Linked DNA regions of Callithrix jacchus. The protein of the gene in region 2 purifies or fractionates together with the protein of the main gene of each other region. This does not show direct contact. Links are inferred from orthologs where the notes say so. Each region holds a gene or a part of one and is shown on either strand. Other genes may lie near its edges.

Evidence for each region.
Region 1: the proteins of COPS6 (region 2) and KLHL18 purify together in Homo sapiens (affinity purification with mass spectrometry; 3 studies listed by BioGRID and IntAct, with this or other methods). This does not show direct contact. The link is inferred for Callithrix jacchus from reciprocal best matches to the Homo sapiens genes COPS6 and KLHL18.
Region 3: the proteins of COPS6 (region 2) and DCAF11 purify together in Homo sapiens (affinity purification with mass spectrometry; 6 studies listed by BioGRID and IntAct, counting the BioPlex papers as one, with this or other methods). This does not show direct contact. The link is inferred for Callithrix jacchus from reciprocal best matches to the Homo sapiens genes COPS6 and DCAF11.
Region 4: the proteins of COPS6 (region 2) and UBE2M purify together in Homo sapiens (affinity purification with mass spectrometry; 3 studies listed by BioGRID and IntAct, counting the BioPlex papers as one, with this or other methods). This does not show direct contact. The link is inferred for Callithrix jacchus from reciprocal best matches to the Homo sapiens genes COPS6 and UBE2M.

Annotation. Positions count from the first base shown.
Region 1 is NC_133516.1:29,940,508-29,945,317, reverse strand, and holds the start of KLHL18 (kelch-like protein 18), read right to left. Parts: upstream 3,325-4,810; 5' UTR 3,303-3,324; coding exon 3,174-3,302; intron 1-3,173. Other genes in the region: kinesin-like protein KIF9, read left to right, coding at 3,677-3,939. UniProt on the Homo sapiens protein: Substrate-specific adapter of a BCR (BTB-CUL3-RBX1) E3 ubiquitin-protein ligase complex required for mitotic progression and cytokinesis.
Region 2 is NC_133503.1:13,492,787-13,497,449, forward strand, and holds the start of COPS6 (COP9 signalosome complex subunit 6), read right to left. Parts: upstream 3,188-4,663; 5' UTR 3,175-3,187; coding exon 3,108-3,174; intron 2,886-3,107; coding exon 2,760-2,885; intron 2,567-2,759; coding exon 2,435-2,566; intron 1,788-2,434; coding exon 1,699-1,787; intron 1,599-1,698; coding exon 1,536-1,598; intron 1,285-1,535; coding exon 1,237-1,284; intron 1,149-1,236; coding exon 1,034-1,148; intron 949-1,033; coding exon 856-948; intron 756-855; coding exon 655-755; intron 525-654; coding exon 384-524; 3' UTR 1-383. UniProt on the Homo sapiens protein: Component of the COP9 signalosome complex (CSN), a complex involved in various cellular and developmental processes.
Region 3 is NC_133509.1:58,421,373-58,426,332, reverse strand, and holds the start of DCAF11 (DDB1- and CUL4-associated factor 11), read right to left. Parts: upstream 3,325-4,960; 5' UTR 3,275-3,324; exon of another isoform or gene 2,983-3,274; intron 2,897-2,982; 5' UTR 2,809-2,896; intron 2,717-2,808; 5' UTR 2,507-2,716; coding exon 2,352-2,506; intron 1,289-2,351; coding exon 1,161-1,288; intron 942-1,160; coding exon 814-941; intron 542-813; coding exon 477-541; intron 1-476. UniProt on the Homo sapiens protein: May function as a substrate receptor for CUL4-DDB1 E3 ubiquitin-protein ligase complex.
Region 4 is NC_133523.1:51,191,312-51,195,936, forward strand, and holds UBE2M (NEDD8-conjugating enzyme Ubc12), read right to left. Parts: upstream 3,325-4,625; 5' UTR 3,122-3,324; coding exon 3,013-3,121; intron 1,930-3,012; coding exon 1,835-1,929; intron 1,707-1,834; coding exon 1,668-1,706; intron 1,567-1,667; coding exon 1,463-1,566; intron 1,156-1,462; coding exon 1,092-1,155; intron 1,010-1,091; coding exon 869-1,009; 3' UTR 491-868; downstream 1-490.

The DNA.
Region 1 (4,810 bases), on a different chromosome or scaffold from region 2:
AACATCTCACACCAAAAAGCTTCCAACCAGCTTTTCAGTGTCTGTTTATTTGAAAAACACTGTGTAGTCACCAGAAAACTGAAGAAAGACTGAAGAAAGAGAGACAAAACAGATTTCCCAGAGCAGCTCTGGTGGCAAGTAGTGAAATGTGCAGAGCCTGGTTTGCGTGCCCTTTCCCCAGTCCCATCATCATATTGCTTCGGAGCTAACCCCTGGGCTTTACAATATAGTTTTCAAAATCAGTAAAATAAATGCTGTCTACAGTCCCGTCCAGTTCTAGCCCATGCCTTTATACTAGTCCTTCCCACTGGAGGCTTTTTCTTAAAGAGAGAGGAAAAAAAGAAAAAATATATATATATTGGTCCTTATGTTCTAGATCCTTGAAACTAACAGCAATTCAGACTGACCCTTTCAGTTGGAACTATGTCTGATTTTTTTTTTTTTTTTTTTTGAGACAGGGTCTCACTCTGTTGCTCAGGCTACCTTCCAAGCTCAAGTGATCCTCCCACCTCAGCCTCCTGAGTAGCTAAGACTAAAGGTACACACCACTACAGCTAAATTTTTATCTGTAAAAACGGGGTTTCACCATGTTGCCCAAGCTGGTCTCAAACTCCTGAGTTGAAAGTAATCCACCTGCCTCAGCCTCCCAAAGTGCTGGGGTTACAGGCGTGAGCCACAGTGCCCAGCCTACAGCCTAAATTTTAATCTAAAAATTCTCCCCTATTACTGCTTTTCACTAGTCTCTATTTACACCAAGTGTTACTACACAATTAGATCATTTTTCTGCTTACAAATCTCTAGCAGCCTTAACATCTTCCACCATGTAATCACTGTGGACAAAATCTTCTCATTTACTTTTACTTCCTCTGTCTTCTTTAGTCCAGCTCATTTTTCTCAGTTTGCTTGGTTCCTTTTCCCATCTGAGAAGATCTTGCCCTTTCTCAGGTCACTTCACTCCTCTCCTGGAAAAACAAACTCCTTCAGGAGGGGTTTAGAATGATGAAAAGGGCCGGGCGCAGTGACTCATGCCTGTAATCCTAGCACTCTGGGAGGTCAAGGAGGGGATCACGAGGTCAGAAGTTCAAAACCAGCCTGGCCAACATACTGAAACCCTGTCTCTACTAAAAATACAAAAAAAAAAAAAAATTAGCTGGGCGTGGTTGTGGGCGCCTGTAGTCCCAGTTACCTGGGCGGCTGAGGCAGGAGAATCACTTAAACCTAGGAGGTAGAGGTTGCAGGGAGCCGAGATCGTGCCACTACACTCCAGCCTGGTGACACAGTGAGACTCTGTCTCAGAAGAAAAAAAAAAGATGAAAACATTTTGCCAGGTATAACGCAAAGAGCACCACAAATTTTCTCATCTAATCTTCACACTAATGCTGTGAATTCAAAATCATCCCTATTTTTACATTTGGAAAACGTAGGCTTACAGAGATTAAGTAACCTGCCCAAGGTTACAACTAGGATTTTAATCCAAATCCTTCTGGCTTCAAAGCCATACTCAACCATCCTACTCTACCATCTCTAGAAGTGTGACTCAAACATGTGGAAGAAGATAAGTTTCCCTCACCATGTAGAAAATAAGAAGAGCAGGCCAGGCGTGGTGGCTCATTCCTGTAATCCTGGCACTTTGGGAGGCTGAGGTGGGCGGATTGTTGGAGCTCAGGAGTTCAAGACCAGCCTGGGCACGGTTAAACCCCATCTCTACTATAAATACAAAAAATTAGCCAGGTGTGGTGGTATGTGTAGTGGGGAGGCTGAGGCAGGAGTATCACTTGAACCCAGGAGAGGGAGGCTGTAGTGAGTCGAGATTGCCCCACTGTAGCCTGGGCGACAGAGCCAGACTCCATCTCAAAAAAAAGAACCTAAGAACAAAAGGATCTCTGCATAGTTTTGTTCTCTCTCTCTCTCTCTCTCTCTCTCTCTCTCTCTGTGTGTGTGTGTGTGTGTGTGTGTGTGTGAGAGAGAGAGAGAGAGAGAAATAGGAGAAATGAGAGAGAGAAATCGGAGAAATAGGGTCTTGCTCTGTTGCCCAGGCTGAAGTGCAGTGGGCAATTACAGCTCACCGCAGGCTTCACCTTCTAGGCTCAAGTGATCCTCCCACCTCAGTCTCCTGATATCTGGGACTATAGACACAGGCCACCATGCGCAGCCAATTTTTTATCTGTAGAGAAAGGGTCTCCCTACATAGCCCAGGCTGGTCTCCAGCTCCCCTGCTCAAGTGATCCTCTCACCTCTCAAAGTGCTGGGATTACAGGTGTGAGCCACCATGCCTGGCCTGCTTGTTTTTTAAACAGGGATCACCCACAGATGCTGAGCGCTTTCCAGCCAAAGCCCAACGGGGAGCCCCACTCATTACTTCCCCAACCGGACGGCTCAACATAGTTCGGTGGCTTGGCTAGGGAGCAACACAGTACGCCTCTTCCACATGAAAGGACGCAGGCACAGGAGGGAGGCTGGCTCTTGCGGCCAGGATGCTGGTGGGGAACAGGTTGTTAAGATATCTTTCCCTCTTAATGTCAGTCAGCATCCCTCTCCCCATGCAGCCAAGAGGCCCAGCCCCAGGAACCTTTGTGATGGTGGTGGTTGTGGTGGTTGGTGGTGAGTGGTGCCTTCAAGTGTGGGGCAGGGTGGCTTCCCACCTCAAAAAATTTCCAGATCAGATTTTTAAAACTCTTAAGAGACAAAGCAGTAATTCAAAAATTAAGGGCTGGCAATGATTCCTAAGGAGTAGGCTTCTCCTCTACAACAGCATAGCCAACTTCAAGAGGCACAAAGAAATTTCTGTGGTGACAAGAAAAGATGCTTCAGTGGTGCCCATCAGCACGTGGGGCCGCCACCGCCCCTGCCTCCACAGAAGGTAAGTCCATTTTCTCTTGTCTGTATGACAGAAAAGGGAGGCTGTCACCCCAATGTCTCCCACTCCGAGGGCCTAAGCGGCGCACCTCTCAACCTTTCCTTCCAAGGGCTGAAAGGCTGTCTGTCCTCTTCCTCTCCCCACTCAGCCCCTATCCCGTTCTCCTGCTCGGCACCTCTCTCCCCACTACTCGGCCCCCTCAAACCTCTACTCCCCACGCCTCTCCCTGCTGACCTCTCTTTCCCTGTCCCCCACCCCTTTTTACTGCCCGCTCGACCCCTTTCACCTCAGCCCGCTGCCGCCCAGCCCGCGGTACCTTGAGGGTCACGTCGCACAGCTTGCCTTGCCGCCGGATCTCCTCCATGACTCCGTAGCCGCGACTAGGCAACTCGGACACCGAGAAGTGCACCAGATCCTCCAGCTCCTCCGCACCGTCCTCCACCATCTTCCCCGGCCGCCGCAACTGCGCAGGCCTCGCCGGCCGGCTACTCACTAACCAGGGCGGGGCGCGCGCGCACGCCGCCAGCAGCTCCGAGCGCGGAGGAGCAATCGAACGGGCCTCCGCGGCCGCCGTAGTTAAAACTCCTCGGCGCCGGAAGCCCCGCCGCCCCGCTTCCTGGTTCATGTGCAGCCTTCGTTCCTTCGCTACCCCGACCTTCGCTTCGCGCATGCATCTGCCGAGTTCTTTCTAGATCAATCGGCCTCATCTCTCGTCTTCCCAATTCGGCCATGACCTCACCCATATCCTCGACGTAGGACCTCGGACTTCATTTCCGCCACTCTCGACACTTCCGGAATCCCCGGAAGCGACCCGTTGCCATGGCGACCGTGTACACAGCCAGCCAGCCCCGCGTGGGGAGTGCAGGTGGCTTCGGTTGCAGCTTCGCATCCCGGGAGCGTCGCTGCCTGGTAAACGGTGAGCAGGGGCTGCGCGCCGGTGGGAGTGGGGCGACGGGAGACCGTGGCTGGAGTCCAAACACCACTCTATCTGGAGGTTTCCGGCTTGGGTCGCTCATCTCTGAAACCCAGGCGAAGGAGGGCGAGACATCGTGGGAGTCCTTTCAGCCTGGCCACGACTTACGGTATTCAGAACTAATGTTCATTGGTCCCACAAAGGAGTCCCACATCGCGCCCAGGGTATTGAAGCCTTGAGGCAGGGAGCCGGAGGTCGTCTGGACTCTTCTGCACTAGTCGGTTTTCGAACTAGAGGGGGTTTTGGGATCACCAGTCCGAGCCCTACTCTTTACAGATTAGGAAACCGCTCCCGAGAGAGCGGAATGGGTCCAAGGGTTATTGCCCCCCAGGCTCCATGCGGGGGTTCGGCACATTGAGTGAGGAAAAGGAGAAAGGCCAGTTTTGCCTGAGTCCCAGTCTTGTTCAGCCAAGGCCAGGTGCAACTGGACCCAGTGTTTGGGGTTCGGGTGTTGCTGCTGCCACTACGGTAGCTATGAGGGTTCCCCATGACAGCCCCTGATCTGTATGGGAGCACTGGAAGATAGGACCCATCTGGCAGCTACCGCCCCACCAAACGTTCCCTTTCTCTTGTCGAGCCTTCGTGGGTGCTTGTTGCCAGTTCTGTTCCTTCGCACTCAAAACAAATGAAGCAACCTCGAGCGTCTTAACACAGAAGTTTCCTGGTGGCCATTCAGAGACTTGCTTTGTTATAACAAATATCAAAGGGTGGTTCCCCAAGGAGAGGCATTTCCCACAAGGTCCCGAGGGAGAAAGGGGGCAGTGGCTCACGCCTGTAATCATGGCTTTGGGAGGCCGAGGTGGGCGGATTGCTTGAGCTCAAGACCAGCCTAGATAACATGGGGAAACCTTGTCTCTGCAAAAAATACAAAAATTTTCCAGTGGTGCACGCCTGTAGTTCTGGCTGCTTGGGGGGCTGAAGTGGGAGGATCACTTGAATCAAGGAGATGAAGGCTGCGGTGAGCCATATTGTGCCACTGC
Region 2 (4,663 bases):
CAGTTGTCACATTTGTTTATAGGGTTGGGCTATATAAGATGATGTCGAGGGTGACATTAAAGTATAGAACAGAGACTGCTTAGTTGGAAGCAGGCAGCCTTGGACACTAAAGACGGTCCATGTGGTTGACACGCAGTCACTTAAAGTGGCAGTGCCTCCGTCATTGAAGAACATCAGAAGGGCTTGTGAGCAAGGCTGGAATGAGCTTTGACGAACATCCAAGTTGACAAACCAGTGTGGTGCCTAACAGAGAGGACAGAGCCACCGGCAGGGGTGCTCAGGGGCTATTCCCCCTTTTATTAATAAATGACAGCGGTTTCTAGTGCCCCCCCGCTTTGGGACAGTTGCCTGACCCCTGTCCATCATCCCTTCAAGTACCCGCATCAGAAAAAGAGCCCGCGCATTCGCCTGCCAATGCCTTGTCGGTCGTAGAGGACGTTGAACTTGTTCACAAACTGGTTCATGGTGTTGCACGTTTTAGTGATGGTGCCGAGGTAGGCCATGAGCCCCACATCATTGCATTGCTGGGAGGGAACATAAAGGACCAGTTCTTCAGGGGATCTCTTGTGGCATGCCCAGGGAACAACAGTCCCCAGTCCTGCATGTGAAAGTGACAGCATAAGCCCCACCTCCCCATCTGGGTTTTACACTCACATCATAAAAGTCTGTCTTGAACTTGTCTGTGCTGAGCACTGGGAGGCAATGACACAGAGCATAGGCCTCCCGCAGGATCTCATGATTAAAGGGGACCTCTCCTAAAGGCACAAAAAGAGGCTGCATTAATTTGGATGCTGTCACTTCCCCAGAAGGGAGAGGAAGAACCCCAGGGAAGTGTCAGGGAAGCCCTTGACCTACCTGCTTCAGAGGCCTTGACGTACTCCAAGATGAGCTTGACGCGGCTGTGCAGCATCTTGATGGCACTGTGCTGTGCTATCAGGTGTTCAGCCACTGCAAGGGGATGGAGACAGGAGGAGGTTGGGACAGGATGTGGCCACACATTCCACCCCCACTTCCAAGGAATCCCCTCCGTTACCGGTGGAGTTCTCTCCACTGCCTGTTGCTGTCATTCGGGCCACGTGGTCTACACCAATGCGTTCCGCTTCCTCTGTGGCCAGAGTGTAGGTCAGCTCAGCAAACAGCATTGTGGCCTACAGGGCAAGGTAACCCACAAAGGGAGAATCAAAAGCAGGAAAGAGGACAAGAGCAGGATGTGAGGGTTGAAGGGTAGGGTTTTACCTCTCCGTTGATTATATCAATGACAGACTCAAAAACGCTGACAGGAAGCTGTGGAGGAGATGGAGAAACCTGAATACTATCTGCCAACATTGGGGCTAGTCGATTTCACACATTTCCTCTCAGCTAATTTTCCCTAGAAACCAATGAAGTAGGGATTACCTCATTTCACACAGTTTGGAGATTAAATGACTAAGCCAGAGTCACAGCAGATAAGTGGCATTTGGCATTCCCCAATACACCGTCACACAACAAAAGGTACAGCAACAATTATGACACAGTAGGCATGGGATATTACTTACATCTGTGTGCTTGGTCATAGGGTTCAACTTCAGAAAGAGGGGGCTCTCAATGATCTCACACACCTGAATGAGAGGGACGATGCACAGGAAGTCAGTGCCCCCCTTTCTCCTTCCCCTCATCCCCCATTCTCTGCTTCAGCATGCACAGGTGTGAGATGTATACCTGCTTGTGGACGTGGATGTCCGAGGGGTCAGGTGGCCCCCCTGTGGTATACCAACCCAGAAATTCCAGCTCCTTGAACACCTGTTTAACTGAAGGGGAAGGGACCAAAACACATAGTAATTATTATTATTATTTTGAGACAGAGTTGTTCTGTTGCCCAGGCTGGAGTGCAGTGGCGCAATCTTGGCTCACCACGACCTCCGCTTCCCAGGTTCAAGCGATTCTCCTGCCTCGGCCTCCTGAGTAGCTGGGACTACAGATGCACATCACCACATGCGGCTAATTTTTGTATTTTTAGTAGAGATGGGGTTTCACTATGTTGGCCAGGCTAGTCTTAAACTTCTGACCTCATAATCTGCCTGTCTCGGTCTCCCAAAGTGCTAGGATTACAGGCGTGAGCCACCGTCCATGCCCAGCCTGACATAGTAATACTTTAAGCCATCTTTCCTCTGTGTGAAGCTCCTGGTGTATTTTCACCAGCTTCTCTCCCCGCTCCTCAAATCCTGGCTCAGTTTAGAGTAATTACTCCCTTCTATCCTGTCTTTTATCCTTTACTTTCTTTTTGGGAAAGAACTCTTAATGTGTTCTTTTTCTGAGATCTCTCCAGCAATTCTCTTAACCTTTTCTTCTCTGTTCTTGGCCTCCTCTCCTGTTTATTTCCAACCTTCTCCATCTTCCCCACCCTGTACTTTTTTTTTTAACTCCCACTCCTCTTCCCCACGTCTATTCCGCTCACACTGCTCTTCCTTGGTGTAATAATATTCCTTGTCAATGATAATCTTCTCTTCCACCGTGTGGGACAGCAGCTCAAAGGAGTTCATCACCTCGATATTTCGGCCCTCCTGCTTCCCAATCAGAGCCCCAATCACTAGGAAAGAGAATGACATGGAAAAGGTGAGGGTAAGGAAACTTCTATCACCTAAGGGTCTGAGGTCAGTGGGAGCCAAGTACTGGGGAAACGATGACTTGAGGGAGGGGGAACTGGCTCCAGTAAAAAAAGGGAAAGACGACTGGGGGAGGTAAGCAAGGAGAGGAGACTGGAGGCTATGCCCAACACTCACCCTGCACAGGCCGCCCCTCCTGGGAGCGCATGCGGATCCAGTGGTCTGAGATGTTGAGAATGACAAGGGGATGGAGAGCGACGGATACACTCCCAGTCACTCCGGAGGCCATCACGCTGGGGACTACTAAGGGTGGAGGGAAAGTAGAGAGGGTGAGAGTCCGGGCCCCACGTCCTTCCCTGGAGACGGCAGTGGGGGACGACGGAGCCCGGCCACACTTCCCTCCCGCAACTTATCCCAGGGAAAGATGTTGCTGTTCCGCCCTCCTCCCTTCTTCTGGGAGCACAGGGAGGCCTCAACGCACCCCTGAAGGAGGTCTCTGGAAGCCACCCCCACACAGCCCGTTACCTGCTGCATCCACCTCCATCCCGCTGCTCCCTCCGGTCCCGTTCGCAGCTGCAGCTGCCGCCGCCATTTTCCTCGCGCCCGCCGGCCTCGGCCCCGCCCCCTTCCTTCCCGGCTTCCGTAAGGTGAGAGGCGCATGTTCAGTGTCCCCGCGGCGCGCGGCGGGCCAGGAGTCCCAGGAGTAGGTAGTTCACTGGCTTGGTTGACGGTTTTCTGGCTAAGGGATCCCGACGCCCTCGCGGGTTTTCGCAGACCTTGTCCCCTCCTGACGCCTGCGGGTAACGTTTGACAAATTACTTAACGGCTTGATAGTCCTCATCTGTAAAATTGAGATAAGAATGCCTAGTTCTTTTTTTTTTTTTTTTTTTGAGACGGAGTCTCACTCTGTTGCCCAGGCTGGAATGCAGTGGCGCGATCTCAGCTCACTGCAACCTCCGCCTGCCGGGTTCAAGCAGTTCTCCTGTCTTAGCCTCGCTAGTAGCTGGGACTACAGGCGCACACCACCACGTCTGGCTAATCTTTGGTATTTTTAGTAGAGACTGGGTTTCACCGTGTTAGCCAGGATGGCCTCTCTCTCGTGACCTCGTGATCCCCGCCTCGGCCTCCCAAAGTGCTGAGATTACAGGCGTGAGCCACCGGGCTTAGCCAAAAACGCTTAGTTCTTAAGGCTGTTGCAGAATGAATGAAATGTCGTGTTACTGCCCTCACAGTAAAATCCAAACAACCGACCACACTCTGCAAGGCCCTGCCTGAACTGCCCTGGCCTGACCTCTACTTTTCTAGCCCTTGATATTCACGCTTCAGCGGCACTGGCCCTCATGTCTGGTTTTGTTGTTTGTTTGAGACAGGATCTCACTCCATCTTCCAGGCCGGAGTGCAATGGTCTCATCTCAGCTCATTGCAGCCTCAGACTCCTGGGCTCAAGTGATCCTCCCACCTCAGCCTCCCAAGTAGTTCGGACTACAGGTGCGCCCCACCACACCCAGCTGATTTTATTATTATTTATTTATTTATTTTGAGACGGAGTTTCACTGTTACCCAGACTGAAGTGCAATGGCACAGTCTCGGCCCACCACAACCTCCGCCTCCTGGGTTCAGGCAATTCTCCTGCCTCAGCCTCCTGAGGTACTCCTGAGTACCTGGGATTACAGGCACGCGCCACCATGCCCAGCTAATTTTTAAAGTATTTTTAGTAGAGACGGGGTTTCACCATGTTGACCAGGATGGTCTCGATCTCTTGACCTCCTGATCCACCCACCTCGGCCTCCCAAAGTGCTGGGATTACAAGCTTGAGCCACTGCGCCCGGCCGTGTTTTTAGTAGAGATGTTTCACCTTGTTGACCAGCATGGTCTCGATCTCTTGACCTCGTGATCCACCTGCCTCGGCCTCCCAAAGTGCTGGGATTATAGGCATGAGCCACCGTGCCCGGCCTATTTTTTAATTTTGGTCAGAGACGGGGGTCTCGCTAGGTTGTGCAGGCTGGCCCCCAGTTCCCGGGCACAAGCAATCCTCCATCCTCGGCCTCCTAAAACACTGAGATTATAGGCGTGAGCCACCA
Region 3 (4,960 bases), on a different chromosome or scaffold from region 2:
TTCCACCATCCTTTAAATTTCTTTTTTTTTCTGAGACGGAGTTTCGCTCGTTACCCAGGCTGGAGTGCAATGGCGTGATCTCGGCTCACCGCAACCTCCGCCTCCTGGGTTCAGGCAATTCTCCTGCCTCAGCCTCCCAAGTAGCTGGGACTACAGGCATGCACCACCATGCCAAGCTAATTTTTGTATTTTTAGTAGAGACGGGGTTTCACCTTGCTGACCAGGATGGTCTCGATCTCTTGACCTCGTGATCCACCCACCTCGGCCTCCCAAAGTGCTGGGATTATAGGCGTGAGCCACCGCGCCCGGCATCCTTTACATTTCTATACTTTTCCAGTTTGTTTACTCTCAAAGTTTCAACCCCATTTAACCTAAACTTTAATATCTTCAAGGCTCTTTTAACACCAACCCCTTCAAACTTTAGGAGATAAGACTTATCTGGCCCTTAGAGTCTCTTCACCAAGCCCCATACTCACTGAGATATCACTCGAGACTGTTCTCCAAGGGAGAAGCTTCCCCGGTGGCAGAGGCCCCGTTCTCTCTAAATGGAAGGGATTAGGGAATATTGCTAGCAGAAACAGAGGGCCACTTCAGCCGTATCAAGCCCCCTCCACCAAGGATATTGCTCTTGTTATAGAAATAGACACAACACACCATGGTCTGTCCCATAGAACTCTGATGGAAGCTAGTTAACTCTCCAGCACTAGCCCTTGAGACTTCCTTGAAAAGTTTACTTTCTTTTTCTCTGGGGCTGGCAGAGCTTCTGGCTGCTTTGGTAGTCCTGCTGCCAGGCTGGGAGGTGGAGAGGCCTACCTGGTGCAACATTCGAGGGAAGCTGTGTTCCTGGGCTGCCCGCCTAAGCCCCAGCTGCCCTGTGGCCAATTCCACTTGTGTCTTGATCTCATTGCATTCCAGCTCCCGGGTGTCAGGGGTGGCATCCACTGTGAGTACCAAGAAGTTTCATCCTAGGTCTTTCAGCCTCAGAGGATAGTTAGCAGAACTGTACCCAAGCCCACCCCTGTGGCTGAATATACCGGGGTTATAAGGACTTCCTTATTCCCTAAATTATTGCACCTTCTTTTAATGTAATCTATTATTCAAAGTATCACTAATAGGTTTTCTAGTAAAAGTCTTCCAACATTAGGGCCTTTTCCTCTTACCAGGTGGGTTGTATCGGTCCCCAAGACGACCATCCCAAGCTCTGTCATTCTCTTCCTCTGAGTCCAAGAGGGCCTGAATGAATTGTAAATTTGCTGCACCTCCTCCCTGCACCAACCTCACTTGGCCTCTGTGGAGAGACCCCCAGTATAAAGGAGGGGACTTCTTCCCCCAAACCAACAAATTCAGAGTCAATGGCTATCTAGCTCTTAGACCACTTGGTACTCATTTTGAGGTTTCAGGCTGACTAGACCTTGGCTATTATTTTCAGTTTCCTATAAAACACAGTAAGAAAGTGAGTCTTACTTTTAGAACAAGAGCAAAAGCAACACGCTGTGGACATTACCTACTAAGTTGACCTCCCAACGAGCTAAACATTCTCACAGTGTTTCCTTCTGAGCCTCTGCCTGAGAAGTCCACCACAGAACACAATATTCTAAGCTGGGAGCAGTGGCGTGTGCAACTGTAGTCTTAGCTACCTGGGAGGCAAGGAATGCTTGAGCCCAGGATGTGGTGTGCACTGTGATCACACCTGTGAATAGCCTGCTCTCCAGACTGGGGAACACAGTGAGATCCTGTCTATGTCTACTGAAAACAAAACAAAACACAAACAAACAAAAAAGACTACAATATTCAGAAGGGACCCCCATGCTCATCTTCTCCCCAAATAGCCATAAGGAAAGAAACAAAGCTAGCTGCACTCTTCCAGTCAATTCCAGGTGGTCGCTCCCTTCAAGGTACTCTTTCCTCAAGAACAGGTCAGGGCAATTTAAACTTGTTTTTCAAGTAATCAAAGTGGCCTCACATCACGCGTCAATGCCTTACTAAAAAGTTCAACACTCCCTTCCCATCTCTTCACCCCTTACATCACTCCTTTCCCTCCAGGCCCCATTTTGTTTTAAACTTACTTGGAAAATAGATTATATTTGTTTAGTCACAGCGAGAGAGGCTCCCTTGAATAGTCCCTCAAACACATGAGCAGGTCCTCTTGGTGACCCTCCTTAGGTAAGACCCACTCTTACTGGATATGGAGCTGTGTGCCATGGGTGCCCAATAGGGAAAGGCTGTTCTGCTCAAACAGAACGGCTGTTCTGGGCAAATCCCATTTCCTAACCTCTGTAATTTTCCTGCCTGGAGTTGGGATCAAGGGACCGTGGTAGCACCTGGTGAGGTCACACCAGAGGGTAAGTTACCTGCGGAGGAGATAGGCCAGTACCTGGGCCAGATCCACATCTTCATCCTCTTCTTCCTCTTCCTCACTCCGACGAAGGCCAGCCCCTCTTCGGGACAAACCCTCGGAGGGGTCTCCGGACCCGGATCCCGCACTGCTGCTGTTCCGTGATCCCATCTTTTGGTCACAGCATTCTTAGGTTCTGTGCGGGGGCTCCTCCTGTCACCTCCTTGGGTTTGGTGAAAGCAAAGCGTGCTCTAGAAATACCAGGGTCTCCTGAGATGGGGTAGCTATCTCCAGGAGGGTGACCCTTCCTCGGGGCTGAGATCCCTTTTCTTTAGCCTATGCCAACTACCAAGGCGTCGGGAACACAAACCTTCTCCAATCCTGTGAAGCAAAGAAAGAGAGAGTGAAGCGAAGGGCGTCACCCTACCTCACCAATTTGAGAAAGATTTCTCAGTTTTCTACACCAAACTCACCTATTAAAGTCCCAGGACTGGGGAGCGGAAGGGTTGTTGGGCGGTGTTGGATTCCCAGGTAACCTCTCTGACAGACCAATCGAAGCCCCTCGAGAAAGAATGAGCACCACTAGCTTATCTCATCTAACCAATTAGAAGCCTTAAGACTTAAAGACCCTCGACGCCCCCTCTTACCGACCAATCAGAGCGCTTCCTTAGGAAAGCCGGCAGCAGTGACAGCCAATGAAAATAAAATTTGGCCTACCCCCCCTTCTTCCTTGCCTCACGCCCACGTGGTGCGCCGGGGGTGTGTAAGCCAAGAGGGGTAGGAAGCCGAGAAGCACCTCCCACTGAAGCCGGCAGTTACCGCCCCCCGGGAGACCACCCACCAGCCAGGAGCGGTCGCAGGACCCGCAGTGGCGCGAGGCCTTGTTTACACCAACTGCCGCCGCTGCGTTGGCCAACCGCTCCTCCGTCACGAGCCTACCTCGTCACACATCTCGCGGCTTCCTGGCCGGCGGGCTGCAAACGTCACACGACGGTCCCGCCCCCTTGGCCAGCCAACTGGACAGCGGAGCGCCGTGATTGATAGATAGGCGAGAGAATGCGCCAGGGGCCTGAGGGGAGGAGAAAGTGCGCACCGGAGGCGGGCCTTTCGCCCTTGTTGGGGAGGAGTAAGTGGGAACTGGCAGCTTCTTGGATCAGAGACAGCCGAACTAGACGTAATAGCTGAAAGGCAGGGGTTAAAAAAATTGGTGGTTCACTACCGAGAGATATTTTAGCAAGGGATACAACTTACTGTCTGTCCCTAAAAATCATTTGGGCACTTTTCAGACAGTGCCCAAGGCCTCCCCTCCTTTCTCCCCACTTTTTCCTCCGTCCAGCTAGAGCCGTTCTCCTGTCGTCGGCTGCAGCTCCAGTCCTGTCCTCAGGGGTGCTCGGCGTCCCAGTAGGCTTCCACACCTTCCTTCCTGGCTTAGCTTTTGGAAGCCTTGTTCTTGGGACTGCCCCATTTTAGACCTCCCTTTAACCGCTCCGGCAACTTTTTAGACAATCCCTGGCTTTCCGCTGCGGTCTTTGCAGACGCTCCCTAGTATTCGCGTTGTTCTCTCACAGCTTTTCCGGTTCCGGCAGTCCCCTTAGACGCTTCCTTGGCCCTCCGCGAGTTGCAGACCTTCCCTAGACCCTGTGTCCTTGCGGTGCCTCTCCGCCCCCGGCCGCGGGTCCAGGGTGCTCGCGCTGCCTCCTGTCCCCACCCGCCGGTGGTTGAGTAACAAGCCTGAGTCCAAGGCCGGGAATTGCCACATCTGTGATCCTCGGCCACGCTGGGTGGGGAGGCATGTGGGTTGAACGACCTTGTTGTCCCGCGCTCAGAGGCTCAGGATCCGAGCTGAACTTCAGTCCCCGCAGCCTGCACTCCCTTGGGAAAGCTGCGAGCGTCCCTCCGCCCGCTCCTGAGGGCATCGATGGGCTCTTTGCCTTCTTGGTCCCTTCTGGGGCCTCTCTCAGTGAGGGCGAGGGTTTGGCCAGCTTTCGAGCGACGTCTCCTGGTCTCCAGACCCCGAGACCTGAGCCTGTCACCAGGACTAGCCTTGATGGACTCTGCATCCGTATGCTTGGAAGCATCTATAATGCTTGGTTTAATGTTCTACTGTTAACGGTCTTGAAATTCTTAATAATTTTAAAGCAAGTGCCGGGCATTTTCATCTTGCGCTTGGCCCCACTGATTATGTAGGCGGGCGCCCATCACGTATTGCCGGATAACTCACTTTCCGTGCCTTAAGGTTTATTGAGACTTTAGGATACCGTGGTTTCTGGGTTATCCAGCCTGGAAAATCGGAATCTTTATTTATTGATTGATTTCACTTCCATTCTCTCAGAATGTGACAGAATCATCTTTTAAAAAATTGGCCAGGCGTGGTGACTCTCACGCCTGTAATCACAGCATTTTGGGAGGTCGAAACGGGTGATTCGCCTGAGGTCAGGGGTTCGAGACCAGACCAGCCTGACCGGCCCGTCTCTACTTTAAAAAAAAAAAAAAAAAAAAAAAGCAGGGAGTGGTGGCGCACTCCTGTAATCCCACCTCCTCGGGAGGCTGAGGCAGAAGAATCGAACCCAGCAGGCAGGCGGAGGTGAGCCGAGATCATGCAACTGCATTCCAGCCGGCTCTACA
Region 4 (4,625 bases), on a different chromosome or scaffold from region 2:
GTTTGACTCCCGTCCGAGTGACCCAAGCCAGTACCAGGGTGGGCGCTCAGGCGAAGGTGGTGCATCTTTGGCCGATTTCCACCCAGTCTACACCTGAGGACCCAGCTTATCCGTAAGACCCCGACTTCTGCCTGAGGTTTCAGATAGAAGAGCCACAGGAGGCTTCTCCTCCTCGGTGGGCCCACCCATACAAGAAAGGGGCAGAGCTAGAGATGGCTTGCCCTTCCACTGTGCCGGCCTCTTGGCCAGGAAGCCAGAGACCACTGGATCCTGACTACGCTTCTCATCCTAGAGTGGGCTTCATCCCAACCAACCCCAGGCTCAGGCCTGGTAACCCCACCAACTCCAGAGCTGCCCAGGCACTGGGCATTCTGTTGTAGGGTGCTCCAATGCCACCTGTTAATACACGTTCCACCACCCCCCAGCTTTGCAGACCCTAGTGGACCGCAGCTGCCCCCTCCAACCCCATAGAAGTAAGAAGCAGAGGCCATGCAGTAACATTCCCCTTTAATAGCCTGGTGGGACCTCCAGAGGTGGAGGGGTGGGTTGCCTGGGCCCAGCTACCCAGGCCCCTTGCCCACCCACTCCACAGCCCAGAGTGGGGGCTGAACAAACACCCAGCAGGGGGCTAGACAAGCCAATTCATTTCCCATTGCTGAGTGGGTCGGGGGAGGCAACACCGACCTTAATCACATGGTGGTTTAAAAAAAAAAAACAAACTAGGGGCAGGTAGCAGGAAGGGGAGGCAAGGCCAAGGCAGGGAATTCCCCCACCGGCTGCCCCCCAACCCCCTGCCGGTGGCCCCCAATAAATATTTGCAGGGGACGCCACGGCTTGTGGCCGTGGCGGGGGTGGGTGTGCGCCAACCCTATTTCAGGCAGCGCTCGAAGTAGGTGGAGCCGATGTAGCCACCCCGCATGGAACGCTGCACGTTCTGCTCAAACAGCCGCCGGTTGTTCTGCAGGACCTCTGCGGCCTCCTTGTTCAGTGGGTCCTCGGGGTTGGGCTCCTGTGGCCAGTACAGGTGGGGTCAACAGGCCAGAGAGACAGAAGACCGATCTCCCCAAACCCAACCACCTATTCCTACTCACCAAGAAGAGATACTGCAGGCCATAAATTATGGAGTTTACCGTAAGGACTGGCTTCCAGTCCTCTCTGTGGACAGAGAGCATCAGGGTCAGGGCTTGGTGAGTGGGAGATTGCCATAGGCCCCTCTGATATTGGACAGGTCAGATCCAGGGCATAGGAGAGTGAGGATGTGGGAGACTGGGAGGGAGGGTGTGGAGCAGGCCAGGACAGGGAGAAAACCAAGGTCAGGCCATGAGGAAGATGACTGGGAAATGAAGAAACCACAGACAACAAAGGGGTGGGTAGGCACAGAGACTGATGTAGTGCCCAGAAGACCATGAGGGGGGTATGACAGGCAGGGCTGGGGAAGGCAGTAGAGGGCCAGTGCCCTCACCTGAGGATGTTGAGGCAGACGTTGCCCTCGAGGTCAATGTTGGGATGATAGACCATTGTCTCACACTTCACCTTGGGGGGATCATGCGGATAACCCTGGCCCACCTGGTTCCAGGAAAAGAAAAGGGAGATGGATTGGTGCCTGGAAGGGCCTCAGCTGCTGCCTCCTCAGTCCAGGCAGCCATCCCTGCCCACCTGGGACTCACCTTAAAACTGAACACAAACTTCCCACTCTTGTAGAAGCCCTGGGAGGGAAAGGGGGAGAAGAAGATTTTAGGGTTCAATCCTGTGGGGCCTGACAGAACATGTCTCCGTCCTCTCAGTGGGGACACTCTTGATCTGCTTCTGTGAATCCAGCCATATGCACCCTCACCTCATCAGGACAGATGACCAGCTTGAAGTTGAGGAGGTCGTCTGGATCTGAGAAGCTGATATCACACGTCTTGGGCAGGTTCAGCTCGTTTATGTCTGGGTTTGGGCAGCAGAGAGTTGGGGAAAGAAAGGGGGAGGGAGAAAGAGGGAGGGGGAAAAAGTGACAAAGAGGGAGACAGCAGGACACTTAGGGCAGGTGTTGTCAGCACAGCCCCTATGGCCTCCTCCTGGACCCCCAAGCCTCTGTCCTGGGCTGTGCTCCACACCTCCAGCCCTCTCCCTTCTCCTGTTTGGCTCTTGTGGATATATGGCATACCCCAAACAGGTATGTTCAGTCTGCGTGTCCCAACTCCTGGCCCAGGGTAAACGCCCAATTTTCTGCATCCATAGCTCCCAAATGCTCCCGCTCCAAATATCCTCTGACCACCCTGAATCCCAGGCTCCCCATCCAAGATGTTCCTACCTGTCCACCCAAAGTCAAGGGTCCTGCCTACCCTCACCAATTTTCAGTCCTCACTGTCCTTTTTCTCTGAGAGAGAAAAAGGCCTTCTTCCCACCTGACCCCCACACTCTCAAGTCCCCAAACCCTCATCACCCTAGCCCACTCCCTCTGACTCCGAGGTTCACAGCACAATAGGCTAAATTTCTTCTCACCCCTGTCTCCAATCCCTGGTAGTCACTAACCTTCTCTCCACCACCTGTCACCCCATACCCCAAATTGCTGTGACTCTGAGGCCCATGAGTTTCGGGTCCTCCAACCTAGTCCACCCGTCTGACTCTTGAGATACACGGAGTCTTCTCCCATTCATATCCCCAGCCCCTGGCCTCTACTATCCCTCTCTCCTCCTGTCATCCCAAACCCAAGTTCCCGTCTAACCCCCAGACTCTCGAGTCCCCAGCTCCTCCACTCCACTGCCTGACTCTGAGATTCCGGGTCCCTCGTACCAGACACAGGCCTTCCTAATATCCTAAACCACCACACACTGGGCCCCTATCTCTGACCCCCCTCCCCGTGACTGCATGACCCCAACCCTCAAGACCTGACCTCCGACCCGCTACACTAGGGGCCCTCCACCTCTGACCCTCGGCGATCGCATGATCCCCTCCTGACGCCCACATCACCCAGCCTCAGGCCCTGAACTCCGACTCTGGCTCCAGCCCCATCCCCTGACCCCCTACCCTTCTGGATCCGCAGCTGCGCCGCCGACGCCTTCTTGCTGCTGCCCTTGGTGCCGCCTGCCGACTCCTCCTCCTTCTTCTGCTGCTTCAGCGAGAACAGCTTGATCATCCTGCCGCCGCCGCCGCCGCTGCCGCCGCCGCGGGGCCCGGGACCCCGGCCACCCGGCCTCCCGCCGCCGCCCGCGTCGCCTCTGCTCCTCGGACCCGCCGCTGCGGCCTCCGCGGCTCTCGCCACCCGCCCGGCCTGCCGCGCCGCTCTGCTCTGCTCCGCGCCCACCGCGCGGCCCGACTCGGCTCCCGTAGTCCGGCTCTGGCCTGGCCTGGAGTCTCGGGCTCGAACGGCAGCGCTCGGCCAAACTCGGGTGTTCTCGGGCCGCCCGGCCCCGCCCCTATCGCCCCCGGCTGCTCCTTCCTTGCCCTCGCCCGCTCTGGTCTCAGGCCCCGCCGCAGCTGCGGACTCTGGTTTCCCCCGGCCGCGCCGTTTGGCCGCTCAGCTGATCCGTCCGCGAGGGAGCTGCGGCTCGGGGTGGGAGGAGGACGGGGCAGCCGCGGTGACGGGGGCTGAGTACTGAAGGATCGGTTTCCGCGGCAGCAGCGGCTTTAGCGCGGAGGTCGGTAACGGCCTCGGGCGCCCCGCCGCTTCGGATATTTCCGCCGCCTGTCCGCTTTGGGTCTTCCCGCCCGGCCTGCGTTGTGCGCCTGCGCAGCCGCGGCAAACTCGCGTTGCTCAGGGATGGAGTTTGGGGTTCGGCCTCCTTCGGCTGGATTCGGGTATTTCCGTTCTTGGAGTTGACGCTTCGGCTGCCCGGCGGGTCACTTCCGGTGACTCTAGCGGGGTCGGGCAGGAAGTGTGGTTAGCCGCCATCTTTGAGTGGGGCAGACGTGGGGTGTTTCGCTCGCGGTCACTTCATCCTATGTTGTACTTGTGCAGAGCGCGGCGCGGGTGGGTCAGAGCCTTTGACCCCATGGGTCACAGACAAAGGCAGGGTGATCGCGGCGAGACTCTGAGTGAGACTAGAGGCGTTACCCAGAGGGTGCGAGGTCGAGCACCTTCATTGTCCCATCGCAAACCCAAAGATCCCAGTTCCTGGAGATTCTGATTGAGGTAAACTAACAAAACATGTATTGTGCCAGATGGTGGTAAGCACTCTGGAGGGTTAAGGTGGTGTAGAGGAAGACCTGTCGGGCTGGACACTTGGGGAACGCGATGTGGGGGCGGAGCCGGGCAGCTCTGGGAGTGGGCCCCCAATTCCAGCAGAGACGCACTGCGGTCTCACGGCTTTCAACCCACTATCTGAAAAAGGGGATATAGGCGGGAGTCAGCTTCCCATCCAATCGCAGCTCAGTGTGTCTGGGAGGGCGGGAGGAAACAGAACCCTGCGGGTCAGCCACTTCCGCCGTCACCACGGAAACCATCGTGCTCGCGAGCGCTTGGTGTGGTGGCACTTGCCTGCGGAGGGGCCCAGGCGCCACCCCTCTGATTCTGCAGCTCCTCGCCCAGGAGTGGTCTCTGGCCAAGGGTGGCTTGTCTGCTTTCCCTGAGGCCACGCCTCCAGCCTTGTGGGTTGGGGTGACTAGAAGCAGCAGGGGAAAGTCTGGCTGCACCCCTGGAA